Canis lupus familiaris: one gene and its partners. The protein of the gene in region 3 interacts with the protein of the main gene of each other region in a pairwise test. Links are inferred from orthologs where the notes say so. Each region holds a gene or a part of one and is shown on either strand. Other genes may lie near its edges. The genes, in order: CNOT4, CNOT11 and CNOT1.

Evidence for each region.
Region 1: the proteins of CNOT1 (region 3) and CNOT4 interact in a two-hybrid assay, tested with the Homo sapiens proteins (3 studies listed by BioGRID and IntAct, with this or other methods). The link is inferred for Canis lupus familiaris from reciprocal best matches to the Homo sapiens genes CNOT1 and CNOT4.
Region 2: the proteins of CNOT1 (region 3) and CNOT11 interact in binary tests that used the Homo sapiens proteins (3 or more experiments, as listed by UniProt). The link is inferred for Canis lupus familiaris from reciprocal best matches to the Homo sapiens genes CNOT1 and CNOT11.

What each region holds. Positions count from the first base shown.
Region 1 is NC_049237.1:12,483,279-12,493,737, forward strand, and holds part of CNOT4 (CCR4-NOT transcription complex subunit 4), read left to right. Parts: intron 1-2,422; coding exon 2,423-2,480; intron 2,481-4,046; coding exon 4,047-4,296; intron 4,297-5,260; coding exon 5,261-5,758; intron 5,759-10,459. UniProt on the Homo sapiens protein: Has E3 ubiquitin ligase activity, promoting ubiquitination and degradation of target proteins. Involved in activation of the JAK/STAT pathway. Catalyzes ubiquitination of methylated RBM15.
Region 2 is NC_049231.1:42,708,072-42,718,530, reverse strand, and holds part of CNOT11 (CCR4-NOT transcription complex subunit 11), read left to right. Parts: intron 1-5,300; coding exon 5,301-5,453; intron 5,454-7,022; coding exon 7,023-7,225; intron 7,226-8,081; coding exon 8,082-8,284; intron 8,285-9,613; coding exon 9,614-9,710; intron 9,711-9,797; coding exon 9,798-9,995; 3' UTR 9,996-10,459. UniProt on the Homo sapiens protein: Component of the CCR4-NOT complex which is one of the major cellular mRNA deadenylases and is linked to various cellular processes including bulk mRNA degradation, miRNA-mediated repression, translational repression during translational initiation and general transcription regulation.
Region 3 is NC_049223.1:57,302,957-57,314,064, reverse strand, and holds the start of CNOT1 (CCR4-NOT transcription complex subunit 1), read right to left. Parts: upstream 5,835-11,108; 5' UTR 5,686-5,834; exon of another isoform or gene 5,643-5,685; intron 1-5,642.

The DNA of each region.
Region 1 (10,459 bases), on a different chromosome or scaffold from region 3:
CACTAATCATTAGGAAAATGCAAATCAAAATTATAATGAGATACTTCCTTGCACCCATTAGTATGGCTACTATCAAAAAAGCAGAAAACAGTATCACAAATTCTACTGAAACTAACACTATACTATATTTTAACTAACTAGACTGTAAATAAAAACTTGAAACATCTAAAGAAGAGAGGGAAAGAAACAGAACCATAAGAAAGAAGCAGAACGCAATAAAGCGTAGGAAGGCATGTGGAAAAATTAGAACCCTTGTGCTCTATAGGTGGGCATAAAAAATGGCATAGCCACTGGGAAAACAGCATGGAGGCTCCTCAAAAATTAAAAACAGAATTACCATATGATCTATCAGTCCCACTCCTGGGTATATACAGCAAAAAGAATTGAAAGCATATCTTGAAGAGGTATTTGTGCACTTATGTCTGAGCTCACAGTAGCTTAAACATGGAAGCAGTCCAAGTGTCTATGTCCAGGTGTGCATAGACAAGCAAAATGTGATATAAATGCAAAGTAACGTTATTCAGTATTAAAAAGGAAGGAAAAGAACTCTTAAGATTCCACTTACATGAGGTATTTAGAGCAGCCAAAATTATAATGACAGGGAGGGAGGGAGAAAATGGGGAGGTTAGTGGTATAGAATTTTCAGTTTTATAAAATGAAAAGAGATGGGGATAAATGGTAGTAATGGTTGTTGTACAACAATCTGGAATGTATTTAATAGCACTGAACTGTGCACTTATACAAATGGTTAAGCCAGTAGATTTTATATTAAGCCTACCACAATAAAAAAAATTTAGAAAATATTACAAATTCATCTCATCTGTACTGTTTCAGTCTATTGATGGTGCCACCACCAAATTAATCTTTCCAACACTGCTTTGTTTATATCATTTCTATGCTCAACGATTTCTCTTGGTCTCTGATGTCTACCCTTTATCCTTACCTTCCACTGTTGTCAAAATCCTCTGTTAGCTAAACTAATTACTTAACTAATTAATTAACTTTCTCCCAAACCCGTCTATGACCTTTTGATGCCTGCGTGATGCACTTGCTCTTCCTTTAATGTTCTTTCCTCCTTTTTCCCTTCCCTTTCTTAATATGTAAATCTTTTTAAGGATTTCTTTAAATTTGAACTCTCTTAGGAAATGTTTAATTGCCTCACTTATAGTGACTTTGGTGACTTAACTTTCTTTTAAAGACCTCTGATATTTATGGTTTAAACAATTCGTTTAGTAATTGACACTGGTTGGTATTTGTGGGTGTGTACCTATCTCATTTTCCCAAGTGTCTCCAAACTTAGTGGGTTCAAAGCTGTAATCTTAAAAGGATTTCTAATACCCATTTCACTTAAAATGAATTGATTTATTGCTGCTACGTAAAAATAATAACTAAAGATGCTACTTAGAAAATTCCAGACCTATCTGTCAAGAGTCAAGAGCATCTGGTAATGTTTATGCAGAAGATATACTTGGTATTCTGATTGGGTACTAGCTCTTGTTAAATTTTTCTAGAGCAATTAAACGTGGTACCAGTCAGTAAGTTGTCTGTCTGTCAGGGTAACTTAGTAACTTAGTATGTATGTCTAGCCAGTAAAATAATTTTGCAAAATTTGGAATCTTATTTTGTTTTTTCTATACTACTATATCAGAATCAGTATTAGTATTTGGGTACTAATACTTAACCTTTTATCCATGTGCTAGGTTAAATAAAGTTAGTTATGGAAATGCCTCACTAGGTCACTGTTAGAATGCTTGTGAACATTTTGTTTTGTTTTTAAGTCAGCAATTCTGTGACTGTAAATAGTATAGTCTTTACTGTACTTTACTATCGTACTGCATTTTCTCTATGGAAGTCAGGTTTTTGTCTTTGTTTAAGGGTAGATTGCACAACAGTTTCTGTTTTGTGTGTGTGCATTTATACACATATGCCTTCTCTAGAGTTGTAAGTAGAATATTGAAGTAGTAAAGGAAATTTATTGCTCTTAAGAAAATGTGGAGAACATTTGAGTGACTTTTATGCTTTCTGTTAAACACCTGGAAAAATAAGGGAGTATTATTTCAAGAATTTAAATGGGGAATGTGTTTAACATGTGCACAAAACGAAATAATGAATTAAATTTTTGACCTACTATAGTAGTACTCATTTTAAGCAGTACCTTTTTTGTTTTATAAGTTATTGTTTCACCCATTGTTTTTGGAGAATCTAATTAGAATTGTAAGTTGTTCATGGGTAGGGATTTGATCTTATATTTCTTTGTATACTCAACATCTCAGCCAGTATCTTTACATCACAGTGCATCAACAAATATTAGGATGATAAAATGTCTATTTATTCTGGCTTTTGGGTTTGTGTGTGTGTGTGTGTAAGAATTATTTTACTCTGATTTTATTGGATGTGTTTTTTGTTTTTTGTTTTTTTACAGCCCCATTGACAAACCTTCAGATTCTCTCAGTATAGGGAATGGTGATAATTCCCAGCAGGTAAGATTTTGATTCTATATCATTTCATTTATCTTCCATTCCCTGAAACAAGGCATTCTATGCAAGTAAATTTTCTGGATAGTGGAAAATACTTTAAATACTGAATGCCTTCTTCAGTCTTGATTTTAAGAGTTGTTTCTCTGCTGTATGCTCCCCATGTTGCCTTTTGTCAACCTTAATTTTGTTTCTCACAATGTTCTTGCCCCAACAGTTTTCCCTTTCCCCAAATGACTATGGGCTTTGAGATAATAAACCAAATAGTTCAGTGCAGAGTTGTATCCACATTGATACTGAGTAAAGTCCTGATCTTGTATCCTGCTTTGTAACATCTTGTCCAGTTGCTAGTTTTTCACTGCATAAGTTTCTGTACACCTTCTTATATTGGTACAAAAAATATGTAGTTCTAATCTGTTCCATAAAGAATGGCCAGTTCCCCACAATGTTTATGAGAAATTTCGAGATCTAAAATGCACTGCTTTTCCAGAATTTCTGCTCATAGGTTCCATAAAAGAATTTGAAAATCTGTACATCCCTTGTATATTTTAGGCTAGTATTAAAGATTCTTTTTATAGTAAGTTAAAAATAGTTGTAAAGGATGTAATTTTTAGGATATTGGTAAATATTGATTTTTTAAATAAAAGCACTATATTGCTTTTTAATAAGTAAGAGATTTAGGTATCAGAAATCATTCATTTAAAAAAAAACTGCATGCTTTCTTTTAACATTCAAATTTTACATCATTCCATGTTCTTCTTGAACTCATTCTTCTATTTCTACTGCCATCACAGGATTTTATCTTAATACAATATAGTTAATTCTTGACAGGCATATACTTCTCTCAAAAATAGACATGTATTTTGAATTGGAAACAATATTTTTTTTCCTGACACAAGGCTTTAAATGCCAATTTTCTTTCTTCTTTTTAAAATTTTTTAGAAGGATTTATTTATTTGAGAGAAAGAGTAAAGGCACAGTGGAGAGGAGAAGAGGGGAGGGAGAAACTTAAACAGACTCCTCGGTGAGCACAGAGCCTGCTACAGGGCTCAATCTAAGTACCCTGAGATCATAACCTGAGCCAAAACCAAGAGTCAGATGCTTAAGTGACTGCACCATCCTGGCGACCCCCCCTCCCGCCCCCGATCTTTCTTTCTTCTGAATTTTTATTCATTGTTTTGATATGGTCAGAATCTAGTCATGAGTCATTCTCATCACCTGTCTGAATATTTCTAATATTATTTCTGTTGCTCCCAGAAAGTTTTTGCTCTTGGTCAAAACACTATAGTTAGATCCCAAAGAGTGAGCGATATTCTTTTTGTAAAGTGAGAGAAGATAGCTTCTGAAAGGAGAGGAGGCTGGCTTAGTCTTTTCAAGGAGGGTCAGTTTTAGAAAAGAGTACATATGTACTTGATGGATTTTTTGAAAATTCATGTTCTTGTAAAAAAGTCTTTAAGCACCCCACTTTGAAACCACTGTTCTAATACCTTTCATTGCAGGCCTTTTTAATGGTGACTTATTAAAGTGTATAAACTTGTATTGATTATTCTTTTCTTTTCCTATTTTATTTAGATATCTAACAGTGATACGCCTTCACCACCACCTGGTTTATCAAAATCCAATCCAGTCATCCCCATCAGTTCATCCAATCACAGTGCACGGTCTCCTTTTGAAGGGGCAGTAACTGAGTCACAGTCGTTATTCTCAGATAATTTTCGCCATCCCAACCCGATCCCAAGTGGGCTTCCTCCTTTCCCCAGCTCCCCACAGACATCTAGTGACTGGCCTACAGCACCAGAGCCACAGAGTCTCTTCACATCAGGTATACAACGATACTAACTGCATGTTAATAATTTCACTCAGGTTGAAATGAGACCTTGCAGGATGTGTTTTTACTCCTTTAAGCCACCTCTACTCCCTTTTTCATAAAGTTGTAAACATTTAAACTGCATTGGAATAGGATAATAAGTAAATTGTGTGACCTAGGACTTACTGTGTTGACAGATTTCTCTAGAAATCACGGGTTAGATCATTTTTCTGATAATAAAATGCTTATTCCTCTAGGAATTATTAAGGGCTTACATTTTTAACCTTATTTGTGTTTATATAGTTAAATTTAAGATTTTTTTTCTCCAGCCGACAAAGAGGTATGTTACTTAATATTGAAAGTTACATTTTGACATTTTTGAGCCATTTTCATTTTTATTCATTATAAGTTTTCTTATTGATGTGAAGGATGGCATAGAATTAACATTGAAAATATAACACCTATTATCAGTGGAGCAGACAATTTTAAAAAATACATAAAGTTTAAGTAGATATTTTTTTCATTAAGTTACTTTATTTTTTTCCTGGTAGTATATAAAGCAAATATTCAAAATCACTTAGACTTTGCCTTTGATAAATACATTTTGATAAAGTCTAAAAATAGACTTTACTAATTGAATTCTCTTACAATCATGTAATACCTTATTTCATTGAAATGACTTCTTCCATGTTTTGGTTGTGAATAGCTGAAGGTATAATTTGGGTTTCAAGTATTTTGTTTTCTTCAATTACCAAAATCTGTATCATTCATTTTTTATTGGTAACTTAAGAATGCAATCATTGGTAGAAGTATATGAGACCTTTTATAATATGATAATGTGCTAAGAAGGCATACAGCCTTTGGATATATTTGCCTTTATCTTGTAATACGATGTGTTTAACTTTCACTAGTATAACTTTCCTGAAGTGTACAAGTGAACTGCGTATTTTCAATTTATTACCAATTGTGTTCCCAACAGAAACAATCCCAGTATCATCCTCTACAGACTGGCAAGCAGCATTTGGCTTTGGTTCTTCTAAACAACCAGAGGATGACTTGGGTTTTGACCCCTTTGATGTCACTCGAAAAGCCTTAGCAGACCTGATTGAAAAGGAACTGTCAGTCCAAGACCAGCCTTCCCTCTCGCCCACATCTCTTCAGAACTCCTCTTCACACACTACAACCGCCAAAGGTCCGGGCTCTGGATTCCTGCATCCTGCTGCACCGACAAATGCCAACTCTCTCAATAGTACCTTTTCAGTCTTGCCACAGAGGTTCCCTCAATTTCAGCAGCACCGAGCAGTTTATAATTCATTCAGTTTTCCAGGCCAGGCAGCCCGCTATCCTTGGATGGCCTTTCCACGCAATAGCATCATGCACTTGAACCACACAGCAAACCCCACCTCAAATAGTAATTTCTTGGACTTGAATCTCCCGCCACAGCACAACACAGGTCTGGGAGGGATCCCTATAGCAGGTAGGTTCATTTATAGCCTTTGAGAATTTGTGAATAACTCATGCCTTCAGGTTGTTGGGTGGGAAGGAAGGGAATTTTTGAATAACAGAGAGTACTTATTATTCTTGGAAATTTCTATGGGGAAAAAAAAGTCCTTATCATCATCTAAAAAATTTTTAATTGGATGGATGCCTTGTAATATTGAGCTTTATAAGGATGGTGGAGTATTATACCTAATTATAACCTGGAAGCATTTTATTTAACAGGGTAGTTACCATACTTTCATATGGAATATAAATGCACAAAGAAAAAGAAAAAAATGGGCTCTGAAATCATGGTGCTGGAAAGTCCAACACCATGGTACAAATTCTGATTATACATTCTAAAAGTAAACTGATTCAAAAAAATTTTTTTGAGATGGTACTTAGTGAGAGCATGAGGGACAAAGCCACTCTTTGACTACTTTTGGCAATTACTTATACAAAAGTATAAGTGTATCTGACTGATACACATGCGCAAACACACACACACACACACGTAAACTGGGCTATATGTTAATAAAGTACTTAATATTTGAGAACTCTGTTTATTAATGTTTCACAGATAACGTGTATACTTTCTGTGAAAAAGCAGTTGTTTAAGGAAAGATACTTTCCCTTTTGGTCTGTCATGTTTTTATTTCTATGGAAAATGTTAGGTTCTTTAAGAGTGATACCAGAATACTTCTGGTTTTGTACTGCTACCCTTGAAGGTTTCAGAACTTTTGGGTTTTAAGGTCCCATATAACATTTATTAGATCAAGTGACTTCTGTATCTAAAGAAATCCTTCTTGTTAATTTTATTTTTTTTTCAAATTTATTTAATTTGGGCTTTAGAAATAGATGACTAGTAAAAGAGAATTTCTCTCTCTTCTGATTCTCAAGTAGAATAGAATAGTCCCTCACAATGTTACATAACTCATAAAATTATTTGTTATCCCTTGTCATGGCCTTTAAGATATGGCATGGCACAGTCTTACTGTAATAATGTGCTGTTACCAGCAGGTTGTTTGTTCTCTTGTTTTTAGTAAGATTGATAGGTGAATTTGGAGAGATCCATCAGAGTTCTTTGACTCTGTTCTTTTTGTGATCAACCACATTTCATTTTCAAGACAAGTAGATGGGTTAAGGGAATATGGTTTGTGGCTTTTGATACAGTGAAGTTTACAGTTGATAAAGTGAAGTTACTTTATATAAATATGATAGCACCAATCTATTGGTTCATCTTTCAGTGGGATTCATGATATTTGTTCATTTGATTATGGTAGTTAGTAGGTAATTCAGAGTGACATTTTTCAGTCTTCTCCTTCTAATGTGATACTCACTTGTGAAACACTTAAGTATTGAGTTCCTGATACTGCTTTTTTAATCTTCCATTCACGACAGCATGTTAGAGTGTAATTTTGTTTTGTTTTGCTTTAATCATTTAGAAATGTGGCATTTTAATGACTAGTAGTGTATTTCATGACCAGTAACAACATTAAGAGTTAAAGTTCCCCTAAATATCCTAAACATTCAAAAATAAAATATTAAACCAATTACAGTGAATATTTGGGTTCTTGTTTGCCCAACAATGAACTAGGCCATGTGGTTAATATAAAAGAACTATAAAATATGGATACTATTTCCAGGAATTTTGCAGTGTAGTTGAAGAAATAATATTATGTATGAGAGTGGTAACTGTATGATAACTGGAATCTGAGAGATTATCAGATGAGGCTATAATTGTTGGGAAGGCTTCATTGAAGTAGGAATTGATCTGTACTGTGGTATCTTGGATTTGGGTTAGTGGGGAAAAGAGAGACCTTTTATACTGATGGGAACTCCTGAATAAAGATGTGAAGACAGGAATTAGTATGTCATTTCATTAAGAAGCAATAAAACTGCCTTCAGTAATGGGAGGTGCTTCATGTATAAATAGAATGGATGAGAACTTGGGGAACTCTGACAGCAAGGCAACATAGTATGGACTTGATATGTTAGGAAGAAGGGTGCCTTTGGGGGATGATAGTTCTTAGCTATCTTCATTGTATACTTTTATTTGACTTACTACATGACTATCTTCAGTAAGTTATCCGTTCTTCTGATTTCACAGTTACCATATTGTCCATTAGCACAAAAAGAATAATTTTAACCCAAATATTTCAAACCAGTATATATTGTGAAAACGCCACAGTGGTCATGAATAATTACTGATTTGTGAGTATAGTTGTCCTCATGTTAGTCATTTGAAATCTTCATCTAAACTAGATACTTTATAAAAAAAATGTGGCATTAAATTATGGTATTATTCTGTGGGTTTTCCTTTTAAAATATACTCAACTATAGAACATAAAATACTTTTTTTCCCCAGAAATTCTAAGAATGAAGTTACCAACTTGTAGGTCCTGAATCATTGTCATATTTTCTGGGAGGTTGGGAGAGTTTGTTATTTCAGATTTTCTGTTTTTGTCTGTGCATACTTGTTTGATATTTAAATGGTGACTTATGAATAAGCTTATTATTAGGTTACTTTTAAGTCTCTGATGAGAAATTTTAGTTTTAATGCACCAAAAGATTTAAAATTGTTAAGAGTTAGAATACTCTCATGTCCTATAAATATTAGGGAGATATCTCAGGAAGCTGAATGTGCTAAGTCTCAAAACAGAATAGTTATATAATTATAGCCAGATCATTTGGGACTTTCAGTAATAATTAGAAATGACAGAAAGTGAAATTCTGGAAAACTATGTATATTTTAACTGTGTCTAATATGAAGCAATTTAATACCTAGGCAATATCTGCCTCCCCCACCCCTAATTATAAATCATTTGTACTTGGGTTGAACTATTGAAGTAGGTTCAACTTTGTACCCTGCAATGAATATCATGGTATCTTACCAGGGGAGCTGTTGGTGAAGTGCTTCATTAACGGAGAGTACCTACTGTTTCTATGATACCTGCCACTTTAAGATATGCTTAGACTGGAAAAGGCATGTATATTTATTTATTCTTTAGATACGTAGAGCAAAACAGGGTCCCTGACCTTTAAGAACAAATAACTCAGGTGTCACTCACCTATATATCTTACAGATACCATGTCTATATTTATTATATATTTGTATTTAAACTTTTAGTGTTGGTTTGTTTCAGTTAGATTATTAAAAATTGTTATATCTGAAACCTATCATGGGAAGGACAGTTGCCAGAAGTTTGACAGAAATGCGGCTTCCATTTCTTATGCCTACATGAAAACTTTTTTTTTTTTTTTTTTTTGCTTAAGATTAGTTATTTCCTTAATTTGGCAAAATCTTTTTACTATCATTTTCTTGGCTGCACATCCAGTTTGCTAACCGTAGAAGGATTTTTGAAATAAATATTCTTGAGGGAAACCTTTGATTAGTGGAAAATTATAGTAGGTCCCTTCAGATATTTTTTATTATTGGAACCATGTGTTTGTTTTTGTTTAAGAAGTGACTTTTCCTAAAAAGTGACTTATCTTGTTCAGCTCCTTCTTTTAGAAATAGCAAATCTATGTTCCAGGTTAAATAATTTATTAAAAATCAAACATTCAATTAGTAGTAGTAGTAGTAGTACCACCCAGATCCCACATTCAAAATGAAATGTTTTTCCACTCCAACATTGATGTTCACCTTCACAAATGAAGATCACTGGCTTGTACTTTAACTTGGCTTTCTTCCTATAGTAATTGATTGTTGCTCTCACACCCTTGCAGATTCCTTTTCATCATTAGTATATATTCCTGAGACAATTGGCCCAGCTCAGGGGTATGGCCTATAGCTTACAAAATAGAATGAAGTTTATCAACTTGAAAAAAAATGAATGTCTTGCGTAGTCCTTATTAGTATCATGTTCTCACCAGAAACCCTATGTAAAGTTTTTTCTACACAGCCTCCTTGCTGTGTACTTGGAGTTTATAGAATCTTGGCCAATTTACTGAAAATTATGAAATAACCTGTTCTAAAGGCTGAGAGTCTTTCTTCATATTGTCAGTTAAATATTTCCAAATGTAATTTTGCAAATTTATTTTTCAAAGGACTCTGCCAAGATGTTTTTATTCCATAACACTAAAAATTATTTGGAAAACAAATAATAGTCTCAGTCTGTAAGCATTGTTGTTTTAAGATATGCTTAGAAAAATATTTGAAACTGTTTAGGATTGGATTTTTTTCGTGTTTTCATGAAAGGACATTTTTCTTTAAATTTTATTACTGAATTAGCTATTCTAACAGTGACTTGAATGGATTTTGAGTCATGTGTGAAACAAGTCACTTATAGTCCAGTAATTATTGATTATAATTAGACCTGACCTCCTTTCATGTATAGTTCTCTGACCTAGAAGTAGTCATCTCGCTTTCAGTCAATTGGATCATTTTACTCCTTTGATCCCTTCAGAAGTACACAGTGAATTTCCAGATGCTATATGGTAAATTAATATTTATATTGTTATTTTTTATAAATATAATTTCTGATTTTAAAACACGGATTTGTCATTTTTCCTTTTAAAAGCATGTTTTCACACCTGTGAACTTATTTTTAATTTTTTTCCCAAAATACTGTTAGAGAAGTATCTGAAGTGAAAAGGGGTCCAATTGACTTGGAAAAGAATGGCTTTCCTGGTCTCTCTTTTTTTTTTTTTCTTTTCTTTTATTTATAAAATAAAAATCTAAAATCTATTATATTTG
Region 2 (10,459 bases), on a different chromosome or scaffold from region 3:
GTGACATTTGGTTTCTTATACAAGGTGACATCGTTCAATAAACTGCTTTTTCCTTGGAACATTCCGACCCTCACTTTTTAACTCCTGAGTATCACATTAGAACAATGTTTATTTTCTGAAATCGAGAAATCTTTTTAAGACTTTTAAGGTTGAAGGTATGCAGAAATGCTAATTCACTAGTGCTAGATATAATCTACTTACGGAAATAAAATATGATTATTTCTTGAAAGATTGTATGAGAGCTGGGTACAGAGGTGTGACAGGCAGTTTCAGTCATTTTACCTTCAGAAGGGATATATATATTCTGAGGGCTTTTGCTTTGTATTCAATAACGTGAGAATCAGGTCTGATCTCCCTTGCAACTTCGGATGACTTGAGTTCGACTGTGAGAAAGTTTTAAAGTATATCAAGCCCAGAAAGGAATATATGCTAGAGTTAGTCTCGAGAAAGCTTGGCAAAATGGCTAAACTTGCTGTCTCCTACCCAGATTGAAGATGTCCTAATCCATGCATTTTTACAAATATCAGGGGGAAAAAAAGTGCTACACTTATCTTCTCTGGAGCTGGCTACACACAAATTCACCTTTGCAGAGGCCTGCAATTCATGTCTTGCAGTAGGATCTATGGACCAGAGGTGTATTTATGGAGGATGCAGTTGCATTTTTTTTAACTTTAAATAAACAAGCAGACAAGTTATACAAAAGTAACTACAAGGGGCATTTTTTTTTTACCCTATTAACAATGTCAATATTTCAGAGGCTTTATTAAAAATTCCAGATAACCTGTACTTGTTATTTTACTACACATTGTGCCAATTTAAACATTTTTCCTATATTTTTGTCAAGAGTATGTTCATTTTCTGTACTTTAGCTAGCAATAGGAGAAAACAGCATCTTGGGATGATTTTAGTTAGAATTTTTCCTATTAAATGAATGAAGTTGAACATGTTATAGATACAAGGCATCTTTCATGTCTGACAGTTTTCCCACTGAATCCATGTTTGTTTGTTTTTTTTTTTATTAACACTGATAGCTCTTTAAGGAATCAGGAATTTAGCCCTGTCTTTTCAAAATTACAAAATCTGTCTCCCTCTGCCTATGTCTCTCTGTCTCTCTCTGTGTCTCTCACAAATAAATAAATAAGATCTTTTTTAAAAATTACAAAATCTGGGGATCCCTGCGTGGCTCAGCAGTTTAGCACCTGCCTTTGGCCCAGGGCGCGATCCTGGAGTCCCGGGATCGAGTCTCACGTCGGGCTCCCGGCATGGAGCCTGCTTCTCCCTCCTCCTGTGTCTCTGCCTCTCTCTCTCTATCATAAATCAATCAATCTTAAAAAAATTACAAAATCTGAAATATGTAGTTTCATAAAATCTGCATGTATTAAGGAATTATAAAGTGACCCTGGAGCAGCATCATCTAGGTTAAGAAATATGTTTCAGGACCTAGAGTCTCCTTGTGTGTTTCTCTTCCTAGCTGCTCCCCTTCTCCCCCATCACTAACCTCATTTTTGTGATAATCAGGATTTACTTTATCGCCCTCACCTTTATATATGCCTGTAGTTTAACTTTGGATGTTCTTCAACTTGAGATATATGTGGAAACATGTTGTGTTCTTTTGGGTGTTAATTGTAAAGTGAATCCATACTGATGAATTGTAGTGGTTGATTTTCATTGCTGTTGTGACATTCATACAATGGAATATCAAGTTCTCCATCCATTTTACTTTTTTTTTTCTTTTTTAAGACTTCACTCACTTACTCATGAGAGACACAGAGAGAGAGGCAAAGATACAGGCAGAGGGAGAAGCAGGCTCCATGCAGAGAGCCCGATGCGGGACTCGATCCTGGGCCTCCAGGATCATGATCTGAGCCGAAAGCGGGCGCCAAACCGCTGAGCCACCCAGGGATCCCCCCCATTTTACTATTAATGGACATAATGTTGCTATGTTCATTCTGGTAGTACATGTGAAAATATTTTTTCTAGGGAGATAAGCAAATGTAAAACTTCACTAGCTAGTGGCAGATTGTTTTCCAGAGTTGCTGTGCCATGTTTCATTCCCATTAGCAGTGTGCAAATTACCTGACATTCTCTGCATCTGATGATTTCAGGCTTAATTTTTGTCAGTCTGAAGGGTATGTAATAGTGTCTTGTGTTTTGACTGATCCCCACACCCCCACCAGTGAGGTTGAACTTTTTTTTTAAAGATTTTATTTATTCATGACAGAGAGGGGAGGGGGCAGAGACACAGGCAGCGGGGGGAAGCAGGCTCCGTGCAGGGAGCCTGATGTGGGACTCGATCCCAGGGTCTCCAGGGTCACATCCCAGGCTGAAGGCGGCGCTAAACCGCTGGACCACCGGGGCTGCCCTGAACATCTTTTCAAAGGTTTATTGGCCATTCAACCTTTTTTTTTTTTTTTTTTTTAAATTAAATGGTTGTTGAAGTCAGTCCATTTTTTTTTTAAGGCTTTTTTTTCCCCCCAAGATTTTGTTTATGAGAGAAAGAGAGAGAGGCAGAGACACCGGCAGAGGGAGAAGCAGGCTCCATGCAGGAAGCCTGATGTGGGACTTGATCCCAGGACCCCCAGGATCACAACCTGAGCCGAAGGCAGACGCTCAACCGTTGAGCCACCCAGGCGTCCCTGTTTTCATGTGTCTGTTGGTCATCTGTATATCTTTAGAGAACTGTCTGTTCTGATTTTCTGCCCATTTTTAAATCCTTTTTTTTTTTGGTGTTGTAGGAGTTATTTTGGATATTAACCTTTTACCATATACAGAATTTGTAATAGTTTCTCCCGTTCAGTATGTTTTCATTTTGTTAATGGTTTCCTTTGCTGTATGAAAGCAAGAGGGGAGAAGCAGATTCCCAGCTGAGTGCAGAGCCTGCCATGGGGCTCTATCCCAGGACCCTGGGATCATGACCTGAGCTGAAGTCCGACACTTAACCAACTGAGCCACCCATGTGCCCCTATGTATATATATATATGTATGTACTTAGTAGGTTCCAAGCCCAATCAGTGTGGGGCTTGAACTCACGACCCTGAGATTAAGAGTCCCATCTACCAATACCAACTGAGCCAGCTAGGCTCGGTCTTGGTTTTAGGCTCTAGGTCTAGTTTGTCTTGCCACCCAACTTTTTCCCCCCGTCCATTTGCATGGGATACCTTCACTTTCAGTCTGTCTTTGGGTTTGATGTTTGTGTCTCTTGTAGGAAGCATATAAATAGGTGTTGTCTTTTTACCCAGTTACCCTATACCTTTTGAATTAAAAGTAAATGGGCACTTAATTTATTTTTAAAGTAAATATTCACTGATACATACTTTTTGCCATTTTGTTGTTTCCAGGTGTTTTTGCAGTTCTCTGTTCTTCCCTTGCTCTCTACCCTTATGTTTGATGACTTTATTTAGTGTTAGGCTTGGATTCTTTTCCTTTTTTCTGAATCTATTCTAGGTTTTTGACTGGTGGTTACTGATATTCGTATATAATATTCTTTGTATATACCAGTCTAAGGTAATGGTTAAGTTTGAACACATTCTGAAAGCACTGTATTTTTACTTCCCCACCCGACACCCTGTGTTCCACATTTTATTTTTTTTAAGATTTTATTTATTTATTCATGAGACACACAGAGAGAGGCAGAGACACAGGCAGAGGGAGAAGCAGGCTCCATGCAGGGCCCGACGTGGGACTCGATCCCAGGTCCCCAGCATCACACCCTGAGCTGAAGGCAGGCGCTAAACTGCCGAGCCACCCAGGCTGCCCCTCGTAAGGCTAGTTTAGTGGTGGTAAACTCCTTTAACTTTTGTTTGTCTGATAAACTCTGTCCTTCAGTTCTGAGTGATAACCTTGCTGGGGCAAGCACTCTCATGTTTTTTTCCTAGCACTTTGAATAGATCATGCCACTTTCTTCTGACCTGCTGTTCCTGCTGAAAGAACATCAGATAGCCTTATGGGGTTTCCTGTGTAACTATGTGCCTTTTCTCACTGCTTTTAAGATTCTCTTTTATCTTTAATTTTTAACATTGTATTTATTTTAAAAGATTTTATTTATTTATTCATGAGAGACACAGGAGAGAGGTAGAGACATAGGCAGAGGTAGAAGCAGGCCCCTGTGGGGAGCCCAGTGTGAGACTCGATCCCAGGACCCGGGATTACACCCTGAGCCAAAGGCAGACAGTCAACCACTGAGCCACCCAGGTGCCCCAATTTTTGACATTTTAATTATGTGTCTTGATGTGGACCTTCTTGGGGCTATCTGCTTCCTGTACCTGGCTGTTTCCCTGGTTAGGGAAGTTTTCAGTGATTATTTCTTCAAATGTTTTCTGCCTCTTCTTTTGAGTTTCCCTATAATGCAAACATTATACTTGAACAGAAGAAATTCTTTAACCTAGCCTCATTTAAAAATTTTTTAATATTTTTGCTGCTCAGCTAGGGTGCTTTCCTTTACCCTGTCTTCCAGATCACTGATACTGTCTTTATCTGCTTATCTGCAGTTGATTCTCTAGTGTAGTTTTCATTTCAGTTGTATTCTCCAGCTCTGTTCTGACTTCATTCACTTTTCTCTCTAGTGAGGATCTTTATGACCATTACCCAAACTCTTCATCAGGTAGATTGCTTATCTCATTTCCCTTAGTTCTTTTTTTGAGGTTTTGTGTTGTTTTTTTATTCAGAACATATTCCTCTGTCTCATTTTGTCTGAGTCTGTTTGTTTTTATGTAGTAGGTATGTCAGTTAAGTCTCCTCATCTTGTAAATAGTGGCCTTATATAGAAAACGCCCTGAGGGGCAGCCCGGGTGGCTCAGCAGTTTAGCACCGCCTTCAATCCAGGGCCTGATCCTGGAGACCTGGGATCAAGTCCCTGCATGGAGCCTGCTTCTCCCTCTGCATGTGTCTTTGCCTCTCTCTCTGTGTCTGTCATGAATAAATAAATTTTAAAAATCTTTAAAAAAAGAAAAAAATAAAATGCCCTGAGGAGCCCAGTACCTCAATCCTCCTTGGTCACAAGTACCAGGCACTGTAGGGGTATCTGTTGTGTGGGCTGTATGTATCTTCTTGTTGTGAATGGTCTGCAATGGCTCAGGGTGCTCTAAGGGGTAGGAGTGGCCCCCAGCACAGCTGGCTGAGAGGCCGGACTATAGCTGCTGCTGGCTGCTTGATTTGTAGTTTTTGGAAAAAAAAAAACAAGACAATACAAAAACATAGATTGAATCTTGCCTTTTGTTTATATTCCCAATTAGTAGCTTGTCTATTCTCTTGCCCTGTGGTACCCTCAATTTAAAAATATCTCTTATTTTATCCTTTTTCAGAACGTCAGTCTGAATTGCCAACCCAAAGTAAGGCTAGCTTCCCTAGTATTCTCAGTGACCCGGACCCAGATTCTTCAAATTCTGGATTTGACAGCTCGGTTGCCTCTCAAATCACAGAAGCTTTAGTCAGTGGACCAAAGCCGCCTATTGAAAGTAGGTACATACAATTTTATGTACTTGGGTTTTATTTTACCAATACCCTGAGACTTGGTTTTCTAAAGCAGTTATTTTTTGTTGCTCCCTAGACTTGAATTCAGTGAAAAACCTCCTAGCGTCTAGTAGAACAGAGTAGAGGTGGTCAGTTTAGTTTCTTCTGTAATAAAATTACATACCAAATGTTTTATTATCAGCAGCATTCTGGAAGATAGATTTTACAAAAAGGAGTCTTGTAATGTATTACCTTTTCTTTTTTAGTGCTTTATTAATCTTATCATTACCTTCTCCCTTGTAAAGTTTTACTAATATTATAGTTCCTAATTTACTTTAATTCAAAGAAAACACCTACTGAACATGAAATCCGATAGCTGCATCTTTTGGTTTCATGGTATTCTATGTGGTTTTAATGATGAAGGCATGCTTTATGCTTAAGAATAAGGAAAATGTTCTCCAAATTACAGTGTTACCATGAATTTTAAACTTACATGACTTTAATGCCATTAACACATCTTTGGCATAAATGGGCTTAATAACTGAGGTCTCATCCAGTCACAGGTATGCCTGAAAGCCCATGGCACATGCTGATTTTTATTTAACATTTGTTTAAGCACAACTTTTGTTGCATGAGCCACCAGAAAGGTATGTGAAAACCCCAATCAATTAGATACTGAATCTAGCTAACATGAGGCATCTGTACTTCACGGAAATGTTTCCTTTATCACAGTAGTAGTACTTCTCATAAAATGTCAAAATTTTTATCTTTTTATAAATACTCTGAAAAGAGATTGAGATGCTAGTCCTGGTGATAAAAATGAGAGAGAGGATATTTCAAGATAAACTGATGATTCTTAGCTAGAAAACCTCAATAAACTAGTCTCAAATTTGGCATGGGCTAGGATCCATGATTGGAATAGGCCACCTTAGGGCCCTGTGTGGAAACCAAAATGAGGTATAAAAATCCCAGCCAGTATTTATTTTAGTGGGTTTTTAAACTTAGGAATCAATGCTGTTTCAGAAAATAGTTGAAGTATTGAGTCACTGCATTTTCTTGTATAGTTTTATGAACAGGAGTACAGGATTTTTGAATTAGGGGATTTATGAAAGTCTCTGGATTCATTTGAAAATGTCAAAAGGCAGCTATACTTTTCTGTTTCCTGCCATTTCATGAAATGCAAAGAAAAAAGTTACAAATAATAGTGGTCTCTGAATAAAAATAATGGTAACCAAGAGTAGGATGAACAGAATCAAATAGCATTTCATTTTTCCCATAAGAACTTTTACCAGTATGTGAAGTTGTATCCTTTGCTTCTGAGTGGTGATCATGCTTTAATTAAAAATTGCCAGATCATGGTAGTGCCTTTCTCTCTTGAAAAATAGATTTGCTGTCTAGCATAATGATGTTCTATTGATATTTCGTTTTGTTGGTATTCTGAATAAAACCCTGAATTTCTAAATCATCTCTGCCTTGGATTTTGAAGTCTTGAGCGTTTTATCATGTTACCTTTATAAAGATGTGTATAGATGTTAGCTTACTAAATGAAACAAATATTCCTGTTCTCATTAAAGGCCATTTCCGCCCAGAGTTTATTCGTCCACCACCTCCACTCCACATTTGTGAGGATGAGCTGGCTTGGCTGAATCCAACAGAGCCTGACCATACGATTCAATGGGACAAATCAATGTGTGTCAAGAATAGCACTGGTGTGGAGATCAAGCGAATAATGGCCAAAGCCTTCAAAAGCCCCTTATCGTCTCCTCAACAAACACAGGTATTTATTTATAAGCATTTCTTATCTTTAGTCCTCCACATTAAGTGGCCAATTAAATGACCCTGTCAACAGAAGTCAGCAGTAGGAAGGGTTTTACATCCAAGGAGTCTTGGATCTCTGAATCTTTGTTCTGCTTCTCCAGTTCTAGTCATTTTACTCTGGTGGGGAAAGACTGATAATTCAACATGTATCAACTCTTATTTGAACGATTTTGACTCTAGGAGAGGAGGGGTAGGATAGATCTCACTTTTGATCCTGTGATTACAGTGTTTGTAGTTCACTTTGTTTGCTAGGCCATTCCTGAAACAGTTCACTGTGGTATTTGCCAGTAGGGAGGAAGTGTGGAGAATTTTGAAGAAAAAGCACTTATGTTTTTGAAGAGAACTATTTGAATTACATAGTTGAGTAGGACCTGAACTGCATCATCCTGCAAAGTGAGGGACTGCAACAGGGCAGCTCTCCCTCTTCCCTTCCTGCTTCTCTCCTCAAGCATTTGTTCTCCACCTGGGGCTGTACTCTTGTTTCTCCTATTCCTCAGTTCTCTGTGGTGTGTGCTTTTCTGGAGAGCTGGTTGGCAACTAAATTATTTTTTGGTTCTAGCCGAGGACAGAAAAGGTCTACAAAGGAGTTAAGGATGATATTGTTATATAATCCAGACATTATATCCAACCAGACAATACCAAGTTTGGCTTAATGCCCAGGAGGAGAGATCATTAGCATATTTGTAAATAGTCTTTGCAGTTCAAGACATGATTATAATAATGGGTTTGAAGGAAGAAATTTATGAAGTTGGTTCAATGCAGACAATTTTTTTTGACTCAAAAACCTCTTTTTTTAAAAATTTGATTGTATTTAGCTCCTGGGTGAGTTGGAAAAAGACCCCAAACTCGTTTATCATATTGGCCTGACTCCAGCCAAACTTCCTGACCTAGTGGAAAACAACCCCCTAGTTGCTATAGAAATGCTACTGAAGTTAATGCAGTCAAGCCAGATCACGGAGTATTTTTCAGTCCTGGTCAACATGGACATGTCCTTGCATTCAATGGAAGTTGTAAATCGGTAAGTGTTTATACTCAATCAGATGTGTGTGTGTGTGTGTGTGTGTGTGTGTGTGTGTGTGTGTGTGTGTGTATGTGGGGTATAATATAGACGCTAACTGGCCAGAAGGGAAAAACTTGCAACAGACTTTAAGGCAGGGATTTTTTTTTTAAACCTTCTTGAAATTTTGCTAAAGACCATGTCCATTTAAGCTTACCAGCCAGTGAGAAAAAGCCTGGCTTCGCCTGGCTGGAAGCTGGGTGATCACAAGTATGTGTACAGGAGAGTGGTCTTTTCAACCTTACTTTCTGTCACTGGCAAAACTGGTTACCTGCTTTTTGAAAGTATACTTCACTTATGCATTCTCTGCTCAAGCCTTTCCCCTTCGGTGAAGACTCCCACCCACTTCCTTCAGGGTCTTCATTCCGGTTCAGTCCTTGGATTGAGCTACCTCTGAGTGCTTGCTTCTTCCCCCTTCACTACATTCTTAACAGCATTATTGTCTTCACCAGATTTAGTCCAAGAATAACCACATCTTTTTTATCAATATTATTGTTTCTAGAGAATAATTTAAAGGACAAAGTCTGCTTATGCTCCCCACCCCCCATCTCAAGTGACCACACCACTATTCCTTGGAGCACTAGTTCCTCAGTGCCTTATGGAAAAAGGTTCTACAGTCACATTTCTTTTGGAAATTCATACTATATAGGTAGCATAGTATCCCTTTATCTGAACATGGAATTCCTATCCCACAGAATCCTTTGGAGAATACCAGCTTTCCTTTACAAGATTCTAATATGCCACCATGCCTTCTGTCTGGGTCTCTATCACCAGGTTCCTAAATGTACCATACTAATCCCAGATTCCAAGATTTTTCCTCCTAGCATCCACTAGGTTATAAGGAACACTTCTAGGTTCCAGTTCAAGGCTTTTCCCATATTTTCATTTATACTGCTTCTTGTAAACCCCTCATTTTACCATTTAGCTATATATAGTGTACTATTTACTTACTAAACTATACCTCCTTCTCAGATATACCATCTTGCGTATAGCACTTAGGCATAATCGGGGTTTAGTAAATGTTACTTATGAGAGCTTGAAGACCATTAACTGAATTATGATTCAACCGAGGACACACAGAAATGTTTTTAAAAAAATGAGTAATTACCATGTGTAATGCTAAGTATAGACTTAAAAATGGAAATCCCCTTTATTAACAAGCAGAATGGCTCAGGCTCATTTACATAAATATGTTTACAACTAGGTAACTGATCCTAAGTTAGAAATAAGTAACCATAAAATATAATTAACAGTGTTTAACAGCCCTAACTTTTTAACTTTATGAAACAGACTAACTACTGCTGTTGATCTACCTCCTGAATTTATTCATCTTTATATATCAAATTGCATCTCTACTTGTGAACAAATTAAGGACAAATACATGCAGGTAAGTAACAGAAATTTTTGTAATTGTAAATTTTATAAATACCTGCCAAGAAAATGGATACACTAAAACTGGCTTTCTTTTTTTCAGAATCGTTTGGTTCGTCTTGTGTGTGTCTTTCTCCAGTCCTTGATCCGAAACAAAATTATTAATGTGCAGGACTTGTTTATAGAAGTGCAGGCATTCTGTATTGAATTCAGTAGGATACGAGAAGCTGCTGGCCTTTTCCGGTTGTTGAAGACATTGGATACTGGAGAAACACCTTCTGAGACCAAAATGTCAAAATAATACCTCATCAGAACCACCACGTTCCTTGTTCAGCTGTATTGTGACTTAATTTTTAAAAACTGTTAGAACCTTGAGTGGATTGCTTGGCCTAATGCATATAAACACCACTTTATCTACTTAAAGCAAAATTTTCCTTTCCTGGATGACTCACTCCTGGAGATGGATTTTTGGTAAGAACTTGGAAGTGTCTTACTGATGATTAGGAGTAAAGGTTATCCAAAAAATTCCTGCAAGACAGTAGATAAGGTCTTTAGCACTGTAGAGCAATGTTAAAACACAAGTTATAGGCTACCAATAAATCAAGAATCCAGTTTTCTTAAGGTTCTTATATTAAAGTATTTAATGAAAGTAAATGAAGACATTCTTAAGAATTTGTCATACTGCCCTTGAGGTGAAATCAGCTGAATGTTTTGGAATCAAGTGGCAAATAGAAGTTTGGTCCTTCAACCCATTTATGCATATAG
Region 3 (11,108 bases):
TGTCAATTATGTCAATAAAACAGGAAGAAACACTCATTAAAAGTAAAGAAAAGGGATCCCTGGGTGGCACAGCGGTTTGCGCCTGCCTTTGGCCCAGGGCGCGATCCTGGAGACCCAGGATCGAATCCCACATCAGGCTCCCGGTGCATGGAGCCTGCTTCTCCCTCTGCCTATGTCTTTGCCTCTCTCTCTCTCTGTGACTATCATAAATAAATAAATAAAAAATAAAATAAAATAAAATAAAATAAAAATAAAATAAAATAAAATAAAATAAAATAAAAGTAAAGTAAAGAAAAAAATCTCCCTAGGTAATTAATTACCCAAGAAACAATTTAATTCTGTAGAAAACTATTTTTAATAGATATTCATGATGTGCTAAAATCCAATCCACTAAATGAAAGTGAAATCCTGAACTACCAAACCAACCTCCAGAGATTTTAATTATACAATGACAAACTCCTTCAAAAAAACAAATGGTTGGGGAATCCCTGGGTGGCTCAGTGGTTTAGCACCTGCCTTCAGACCAGAGCGTGATTCTGGAGTCCCGGGATTGAGTCCCATGTCGGGCTCCCTGTGTGGAGCCTGCTTCTCCCTCTGCCTGTGTCTCTGCCTCTCTCTCTCTCTCTCTGTGTCTCTCATGAATAAATAAATAAAAATCTTTAAAAAAAAAAAAAAAAAAAACAAATGGTTAACCACAAAGATTATGGGTTTTTTGTTTTTTAAGTAGGCTCCACACCCAGCATGGAGCCCAACGGGGAGACTGAATTCACACCCCTGAGATCAAGACCTAAGCTGAGATCAAGAGCCAGATACTTGGGGCACTTGGGTGGCTCAATCAGTTGAACATACCCTTGATTTTGGCTCAAATCATGATCTCAGGATCATGAAATCAAGCCTCTCATCAAGCTCTGCACTCAAGCCAGGAGTCTGCTTCCCCTCCCCCGCTCATACATGCACACTCTCTCTCTAAAATCAATAAATCTTAAGGGGAAAAAAAAGTCTGAAACTTAACTGACTGAGCCACCCAGGTGCCCCTATGCTCTTCTTTGATTAGTAAATTCATACATCTTTCTTTTCCTTGTACTGAACTCAAGCAGAATATGGAAAGACAGAATGAACATCAGGATACAGTAGGAGGGACACCTGGGTGGCTCAGCTGTTGAGCATCTGCCTTTGGCCCAGGGCGTGATCCTGGAGTCCTGGGATTGAGTCCCACGTCTTCCTGCAGGGAGCCTGCTTCTCCCTCTGCCTTTGTCTCTCCCTCTCTCTCTGTGTCACTCATGAATAAATAAATAAAAACTTAAAAAAAAGAATACAGTGGAAAACCTGGTCTGTCTGACCTTAAACTAAGAAAGTCACCTTACTTTCCTCAGCTTCTATTTCCTAAAGAATGATACCATAATTCTGTATGACTAGCTCTCAAAGTGTAACCATCTAAAAGATGTCAACAGAATTATAAGTTTATAGTTCCAAGAAAAAGGCTCTATACATCTACCCTAGTGGAACAAATGAAGCATTATCCAATTACAATTCAGGGCAATGAGGCAGAAAAAATTTACAAGGCAAAACAGTATATGCTATATGTAACAAAACTGACCAAGAGGTATTTAAGAAACCAATCTTGTTAGGAATATCAGTGCAAAGACTTCTATAGACAGTATATTTGAGTTTGAATGATAGATGTTTTGGTAGACACAATGACTTTCCAGATAAAAGAGATAAAGGATAAAGATATATTTAGGAACCACTATGTAACAGTCTTTTGACTACTACAAGATAGTAATATGATGCCACAGGTAGGAAAAGGATCAACACACAGCTCCAGGCCAAGGGATTTGAAGGACTTTTGAGCAGAGAATGCCTATTTTTCAAACCAGTGACTTAGGAGGCAATCTGGCAGTAAAGAATTAATTATATTCCTGGAATTATTTACACTTGGAATGTATTTACATATTACTTATGTAATTAAAAAACACAATCAATAAATCATGGGGAAGATACGGGAGATTAGTTAGAAAGCTACTGCAAAGGGGTACCTGGGTTGCTCAGTCAGTTGAGTGCCAACTTTTTTTTTTTAAGATTTTTTTTTTTTTTTTTATCCTTGAGACACAGAGAGAGAGAGAGAGAGAGAGAGACAGAGACACAGGCAGAGGAAGAAGCAGGCTCCTCACAGGGAACTCGATCCCAGGACCCTGGGATCACACCCTGAGCCAAAGGCAGACACTCAACCAGAGCCACCCAGGCAGCAACTTCTGATTTTAGTTCAGGTCATGACTTCTGGGTCTGGGGCCCGGGGTGGGCTCCATGCTCAGTGTGTAAGTCAACTTGAGGAAAAAAGAAAGCAAGCTACTGCAAAAAGGCAAGGGTGGGCTTCAGGGGGCGCCCGGCTGGCTCAGTAAGTAGAGCATGGGACTCCATCGTGGAGTCATGAGTTCAAGCCCCACACTGGGAGTAGAGAAGAGAAAAAGAAAGAAAAAGTCTGAAACAAAGGGTTAACTATTCTTAGGATTAATCTAATAAAAATTTAAAAGTAACACTGCATTTCAATTATCTGAAAGGGAAAATGCTGAGCTCTTAATGAGGATTAAGAACAGAAGATAAAAAAAAAAAAAGAACAGAAGATGATGTCTTTTGAAATATGCTTTCATTCCCTTCTATATTTTACATAATTAGTACAACATACACACACACAAACACTTCTCCGGCAGACAATTTAACATCTCATTCAATTTTAGGAATTTCCTAACAACTGTTAACAAAATTAACCGAAACATTTTATCCTGGAGGTTTATGCTGAGCTTTCCAACATTAAAGACAGAAGTCCATTTCTTAAATCAACAGTCTACACTTCCAAAAGCTGTACTTTCTTCAAATCTCAACACAAGGTTTCAGATTAAGTCTACGCCTCTAATTACTGACTTCTTAAAGGTGCTTTTCAATTAATGTTTTATTTGCTTTGCTACAGTCTTACAAACATAAGAGTAAAAAGAACAACGCTAAACTATTGTGTATATATAGGGTGCTAAGGGTTTTGAGCCCCTTTTAGCTTTGAAACATGCTTCTTAAAAATTGTGAGCAAACAGAAAAGGAAATGTAGGACTTTGCTATATATAAGGTCTTAAAATAAGACTCGGTGGGATGCCAGTTTGAAATGTCCCAGCAGGAAGTTCAGTTTGGTCAGAGGGCCATTTAAAAATGCTTCAGCTAATATTTTTAAATGACCTGAAAGTTAGTTTTGTACTAATAAAGTATACCAAAGTTCATAAAATACAGCATTTCAAAATGGCAGGCTATTATTTTTGGTCATTCCAGAAGCATAAACATCTTAACAAAAATTAGTGCCTTAAAGAATGTGTGAGGGGATCCCTGGGTGGCTCAGCGGTTGGACTCCAGCCTTTGGCTCAGGGCGTGCGTGATCCTGGAATCCTGGGATGGAGTCCCACATCGGGCTCCCTGCATGAAGCCTGCTCTCCCTCTGCCTGTGTCTCTGCCTCTCTCTCTGTGTCTCTCGTGAATAAATAAATAAAATCTAAGAAGAAGAAAGAAGAAAAAAGAAGAATGTGTGAGCATTTAATTAGAATTATGGACAAATTCCCTTCCACGCACTGAATGCCCAAAATTTTGTTACCTCATGGAATGAAAAAAAAAATTCAAGTTCATCAACTCAGGCTGCTCAAAAAGTTTTTCATAACTACGTATCAGAATCTAACAAAAAACATGCTTAGAGAAAGCAACATGCAATGATGAGATCAGTCTTTAAGCAGGGTCTTGAACAGACAGCATTTCCTCTTGTGTTCATACAGTTATACAGTTTGTTTCTAAACGACATAACCCAAAGTTAAAACGTCACAGTACTTAGCCTGACAAGATTCCATTTTGAAGAGAGTGGGATTTAAACAAGCCTAGTAGAAATTTAGAGATTAGAGGAAAAAAACTAAGCCAGAAACTAATATATTTGACTTAGGAACCAAAAGCATTTCAGTCCCACCAAGATGCCACAAAACCCTGCTTTAAAACCTCTAAGGTTATATCTTAAGCAAGAAAGGGAAACGCTGTCAGTTATTAATGGTCCAGTCTTTGTTCCTTGATTCTAGAGTTAAGTTTCCAATAAAGGTCTTGGGACCAACACTTGTTGAAAAGGGACCAACCCTCTCAACAGGTTTTATCAACATACTACCATTTTAAAGTAAAACTGGATGCCTAAAACTTTATGTATCATCGGCTCATTTTCTGCTAAGACAAGGTAACAATTTGCAGTGTCCCAAAACAAGACTACTTAAACTGTTACCATATATATTAATAGCAAAAATACCACGCTGCCCAGCTTTAGAAGGATAAAGTCAACCTGAGCCACACATTACTAACATATTAAACCCAAATACCCCAACAAAAACAGGCTTGCTCTAAATGTTTGACCTTTCTAATTTTTTCCTTGTCCTCCCCTTTTTTCATATATGTATCCTTATTCCTATCAAACGGATTGTCACGAGGGCCATGATCAGAATTTTTTACCCCCCAAATACTCAATTATAGTTTATTCAAATTACTGGCTGTTAAATCTTCCAAGGCAACAGAATTACAGAGAAAAGGGGAAAGAAGCATCGTTACTCTGCTTACAGGAAGAAAACACTTTTTTTATTAGAGTCCTAAGCAATGGGACATTTGATTGGGTGGCTTCGGGGGGGGGGGGGGAAAGCCTACTTCTCAAAGTTTACTTTAAACACAGCATTTCCAAACCCACAGGTATCAGACATTTTCTTTCTTTTTTTTAAGCTACAAACCTCACTCCTAGCGGGGATAATGATCTGTGTGAGGCTAGCTGGGCAAGTTTTGCAGAGGAACTGGTACCGAATGAGTTATTTTGTGTTTGGCCTCAAGCAACCTCTCTGCTAGAGGTGCAGGAAGGAAGTCTCTCCCCAGCGCCCAGGCCTACAAGCGCTCCGCTCACTGGGGGGACACTTGGGGGGGGGGGGGGGGCCGAGCCGCCTCTACAGCTCAGACTCACCGGCCCGAGTGGGCGACTTCGGAGAGAAGTCGGAGCGCCCCGGCGCGCGACTGGAACAAAACCTGTGGCCAGAAGTAATGAGGAAGTGCTGGCTCCCGCCCGCCCCTCGCACCGGCGGGCACCGAAACACCCGGGGGGTGACAACGTGCTGGGGGCGCAGGGAGCGGGCGGCCGGCTCCGCATCCCCCAGAAAGACCCAGGCGCCTGCAGCCACTCCAGCCACGGACCCTCGCCTCGGGAACTAGGCCTCGGGGGCCGGAGCCCGCTGCACCCCTCCGGAAGCCCGCAGAGAAAGGGGCAGTTGAGGAGCTCGTGGGGTCCGACGAGGGTGCAGCGGGCGCCCAGCGCGGCCCAGCCGCCCCCCCGGCCGCCCCCGCGGCCCCCAGGCCCTGCCGCCTGCCGCCGACCGCCGCGGGGCTCACCCCGCGCTCTGCGCTCCGCTCGCTGAAGCCTCCGCCCCAGCCTCCTCTCTTCAGAGCCCGAAGGCTCCGCCAGCCGTGGAAAGAGCCCGCCGTCTCCCGCCTCCCCACTTCCCGGTCCCGACTGCCCCTCAGCCCGCGGAGCTCCGGGAAACGCTCCCAATGGCCCCTGGACCGCCCCCGTCCCTTCGCCCAGGGGCGCTCGCGCCCCGACGCTGACACCGCCAGCCGGCTGCAGCCGCCGACCCCGGCCCGCCTCACCTCAGGCGGCTCCGGCAGCGCTGGACACAGGAAACTCCTGAGTCCCCGTCTCCGGCTCTCGTCGACCCCCTCTTCGGTTAACTCCGCTTGTTTCTCTACAAAATGGCGCCGGAGGTCGCGCGCTCACGTCGCGGCCTTTCCCCTCCCCGTTCCCATTTCATCATTCGCTGCCCGCCCGAGGAGGGACGGCCCCGGCACCAGCCAATGATGGGCCCCAGCCCGGGGCTCCCGCCCAATCACCGTCAGGTGCCCGCGGATTTAAACCAATCATACACTATCACTTGCAGAAGTCAAGGAAGAAACCAGGCTCCTGCTAGCAACTACCAATCCGGACTCCTACTTCGCGGGCTCGGGCCAATTGCCGCTTCCCCGTCCCTGGGGACGGGAGTCGGGGCCCTCGCGCCTGCGCTCGAGAGGAAGACCAATGGGGAGACGCAGACAACTTCGATTTGGGGCTTCACGGACTTCCCACCGGCCCTCGAGGTCTTCGACCAATCGGAGCCTGGCAGTGCCTCTGAGAAACAATAAATATGGGAGGGGCCCCATAAACCCTCGCCACCCCGCGCGGGAAGTACTTTGAATGAGCGTTAGACACTTTTCCCGACTCTCCTAACCCCTTTCGAAGTGCCGGGTCCGGTATACAGCGGGGCTGCACCCCCCTCCCCTGGCGTCCCTTTGGTAAGAACGCCAGTTACCGGAAAACAAGCCAGGAGCCAGGCTATAACTACGGGCGGGGGGTGGGGCGGGGGGGGCTCTGCGTTCTGGGACGTGTAGTCGTCCCTCTGCCCCGCGCGCCATCCTTGACGCTGAAGTATCGCGTCTTCTTCCGCCACGGACTGCGTCCTAAGGGTGCATTGCATGCTGGGGAATGTAGTCTCCTACCTGGTCCTAGTTTGCCACACGTTTATCAGAACTTTCTCCTTATCTAGTCCTGCCTATTGAAGAAGGGACCCCTTACAGAAAGATGGGAAGCTAAGATTCTCTTTTTGACTTAGCCCTATTAGCAGTATCAGGATACCTATCAGAGAGGTATCAGAAAGGCTCTCATTAGAAAAAGCATAGAAACATACCTTTGCTGCGATTTACCTATATCGGATTGTAAGATTTTATGGTCACCTGTTCCCACACAAAGGTGGGAGGACGGGGAAGGAAGTGATGACTGCTTGGTTTTTCTACCTTTTGGGGGAAAAAAAAAAAAAAAAGACCCTCCTCATCACTCCATCCTGCATCCTGGGCTAGACTCAGTGGCTTGTCTCCCAACCATCTGTCTCATGCTACCTTTTGTGTCTAAAAATACTTTATTTTAAGATATTTATTTATCTGAGAGAGAGCATCACAGTGAGCGACCACAGACGGGATGAGCAGCAGAGGGAGAAACAGAAGGAGAAGCTGATCCAGGACCCCGGGATCACGCCCTGAGCCAAAGGCGGATGCTCAAACACTGAGCCACCCAGGCGTCTCTTTTTAAATTTTTAAAAGAGACAAAGTGAGACCCATAAAGGTCAACTATCTGAAGTCAACTCTGAAATTCTACAACTAGTTCAGGCCTCAAACATAGATCTCCTAAAATAAGTTGAAATAAAACTGAGTTGCCTTTCCCCACTTCAGTCTGTCTTTGCCAGAAAATGGTTTGCTACTTTATATTGAGGCTGTTCCAGGACATTCTTAACCCACCGACAGTCCCTCCCCTAAAACGACATCAATGCCACTCCTAGAATTTGACTTGCCTTGGGGACTTAGCCAAGTAGCTGTAGGATTCACACAGTAGCCTGGAGATCAAAGTTCTTCAACTGTATGTTGTCAAGAATTCTGGGTGGCTTCTGTCCCTACTCGAAAGCAAAGAGACTTATAGAATGTTCACAAACTAAGAAGTAATGGAGATCATGTGATGTACCTTTTTCATTTTACTGAAAGACATAGTAGGAAATCATGCCCAAACTATTTTACTAGAGACCTTCACAAAGGATTCACTGAATCACCTTAAATAACTCAGCAATTATGTGTCCTGGGGTTCAAAGGTATTTGGAAACAGGATATTTCAGCCAGCTGTTAATTACTCACCTGGCCTCTCCTCAGCCTTCATCTTCCAGTCCTTCACCCTCCAGTTAATTGTGCATCCCAGGCTCTGGAAACACTTTACAAACTCTTGTTTCCCAAAACAGCATGGAGGAGAAAACCTACCAGTTAGGAAACAAAAACCTTATGGAAAAAAAAAAAAAAAAAAAAAACCTTATGGAATTGGGTTGCAGTCAGTGGATGCAAATTTACTCAGAAGAGGAAGGACTTTGAGACTTTAAGACCCGTGTGAACTGTATTACTTTTGAAATGCTTGAAAGAAGGGTAAGCAGAGTACAAACCTTATTATTTCATGCTCCTATTTTTCAGTCCCATTTATCAAGTGATTCAGTAAATTCAATTTATAGTAGTTTTGACTACTTTACAACTCCCTGTCCAAACAACTTCCTGACAGCCTAACCCTTCCAGCCCATCACTACTGCCTAGTAACAAAGTTCCTGACTCCCCAGGCACACATGCTTTGGTATTACTCTGGTGGCTCTACCCCAAAGGGAGGATGTCTGGGGAGGCATATTGCAAACTCACAGAAAAATATTCTGAAACCCAAGTCCCAAACCGGGCTGTACCCCCAACTTTCTGTGTAACCTTGGGAGGGTCATGTACCCTCCCTGGGCCTTTTTTCTCCCCTTCTTCTCTACTCTGAGGATATTGGACAAACATTACATGGCTCCCAAATTGTGGGCTGTTGATTCCCAGGAAGCCAAGGATTTGCTGTGGGGTGCTGGAATTCTTATGTATGCACAGGTTTCTTTAGTCAACCCATATATTCTAAAAGTACACTTTTACTTGCTTTATCTTATTCACATGTCAGGACCCTAAGAGGTAGAGTCTGAGTTATTTACCCCATTTTACAGATCATAAAACAGAGGCTTAGAGAGGTTGAGTCACTCATCCGAGGTCAAATACCTGGCAGAACAAGTGTAGGAACCCAAGCTGTCAGACTTCAAGGCTCACATTCTCAGGCACCACACTCTCAGCTGCAGTTTGGAAAAACCCCTGCCCAGGAAACCTGCCAGCTGTGACATTCAGTGGCCCATTAAAAACCAGATTACTTTCCCAGCAACAACAAAAAATGTGACATGTCATCTGACAGGGTGTTGTGAGTTAGTAATAATGGGTTCTTCAAATACTGCTATGTGTTTGATGTTTTCCAGTTGAAGTTACATTTGAATTATTAGGTCCTCTCCTTAACAGGAAATTTGTCCTAGGGCTGTATAGGAGCTCCTGACTTAAGGTTATTTATCCCCCTGTCTCTTTTCATGAGAAAACAAGAAAGAAGCTAGGAAGTAAAAGGAAAGGCCACACATCTCCTCTGGTTCATAAGTACTTTAGAACTATCTAAATGGATGCTTGCAAACAAATTGGAGCAGATCTAGGAAGCCTGCCTGGGATCTAGACAGATGAGTGAAACATAGGACAACTGACAGAATTCTGAGCTGGACAGAGTCTGTGACTCTGCTCTAATTTTTTGTGTCCTCCCTGATTATAGACCTACTGTTTGAAGTGATTACCTGTAAGCTGGACCATAAGCCCAGATCCTTTTTTAATTCTATTTTTAAGACTTTATTTGAGAAAGGGAGAGAAAGCAAGAGCAAGGGATAGGGGCAGAAGGAGAAGTAGACACCCCAGTGAGCAGGGAGCCCAACTTGGGGCTTGATCCCAGAACCCTGGGATCATTACCTGAGCCAAAGGCAGATGCCCAACCAACTGAGCCATCCAGGTGACCCAGCCCAAACTCTTCATCTTTCACCCATCTGAGCCCCTGCCTTAGCAGATAGTTCATTTATTATTATAGACTTCTCAAAGAACTATCTCAGCCCCAATTTTAAACTTCACATTTTTTTCTCCCTTCCCCAGACTCAACTTTTTTTTTAAAGATTTTATTTATTTATTCATGAGAGACAGAGAGAGAGAAGCAGAGACATAGGCAGAGGGAGAAGCAGGCTCCATGCAGGGAGCCTGATGCAGGAACTCGATCCCAGGACCCTGGGATCACGACCTGAGCCAAAGGCAGATGCTCAACCACTAAACCACCCAGATTCCCCCCAGACTTAACATTTTTAACCTAAGATTCATCTCTACTATCATTTTAGGGACCTTAGAGATGTAAACTTATACCATATCCTGAACTTGGAGGTGGGAGGGGAGCAGTAAGTCTAAGGATTGTCCTCCAAACTCTTCAGCATTCCACATTTCTCTCTCTAAGGTATAAGTCCATCAGACATTTAATCTCTTCCAAATACAACATAGAGTCTTAGGAATCTGAGAAAAAAAGGACCCTGCCTTTAAGATGCTAACAGTCACTCTTTGGAGGAGCAAAAGATAAACCAGTTAATACGTAGTGAACAATTGAAGCCTGTATGTTACCTATAGAACAAATGGATCAAACATCTCAATGTTGGGACGCCTGGATGGCTCAGCGGTTAGGCCTCTGCCTTTGGCTCAGGATGTGATCCTGGACTTCCGGGATGGAGACCCACATTGGGCTCCTGCAAGGAGTCTGCTTCTCCTCCCTCTGCCTGTGTCTCTGCCTCTCTCTGTGTTTCTCATAAATTAAATAAATAAATAAATAAATAAATAAATAAGAAACCTAAAAAAAAAAAATCTCAACATTGAGGGTGCCTGAGTGGCTCTGTCTGCCACACTTCAGACTCCTGATTTTGGCTCAGGTCATGATCTCAGGGCCATGAGATCAAGCCCCGCAGTGGGCTTACGTTCAGCCCAGAGTCCACTTACCCCTCTCTCTCTGCTCCTCCTCTGCTTGCACTCTCTCCCCCTCTCTCTTTTTCTAAAATAAATCAACAAACCTGAAAAAAAAAAATTCTCAGGATGCCTGGGTGGCTCAGCGGTTGAGCAACCACCTCCGGCTGACGTCGTGATCCCAGGATCCCAGGATAGAGTACCACATTGGGCTCCTTGCAGGGAGCCTGCTTCTCCCTCTGCCTATGTCTCTGCCTCTCTCTCTGTGTCTCTAATGAATAAATAAAATCATAAAAAAAACTCAGTGCTGGAAAATGTTCCAAAAGAAATACTTTTGTTGAAACTCTTCCAAGATACATACCTTAAACAAATGTAATAACCCCTTACCCAAAAAGGTGGGCTGAACAGCCAACCTGACTGACCCAAAAAGACTTCCTGTGACCAGAAATCCTTGAACTCAAATACACTACTGGGGGCCTGTGAACAGTATTTCAAAATGCATATCCTTCTTCATTCTTTTACTAAGTTCATTATTTTTGGTAGGTAAAAACTCCCAAATTCAGAACCCACAGGGAAAATAATAATCAAAGATCTTTAGAATAGGGCAGCCCTGACAGCTCAGCAGTTTATCGCCGCCTTCGGCCCAG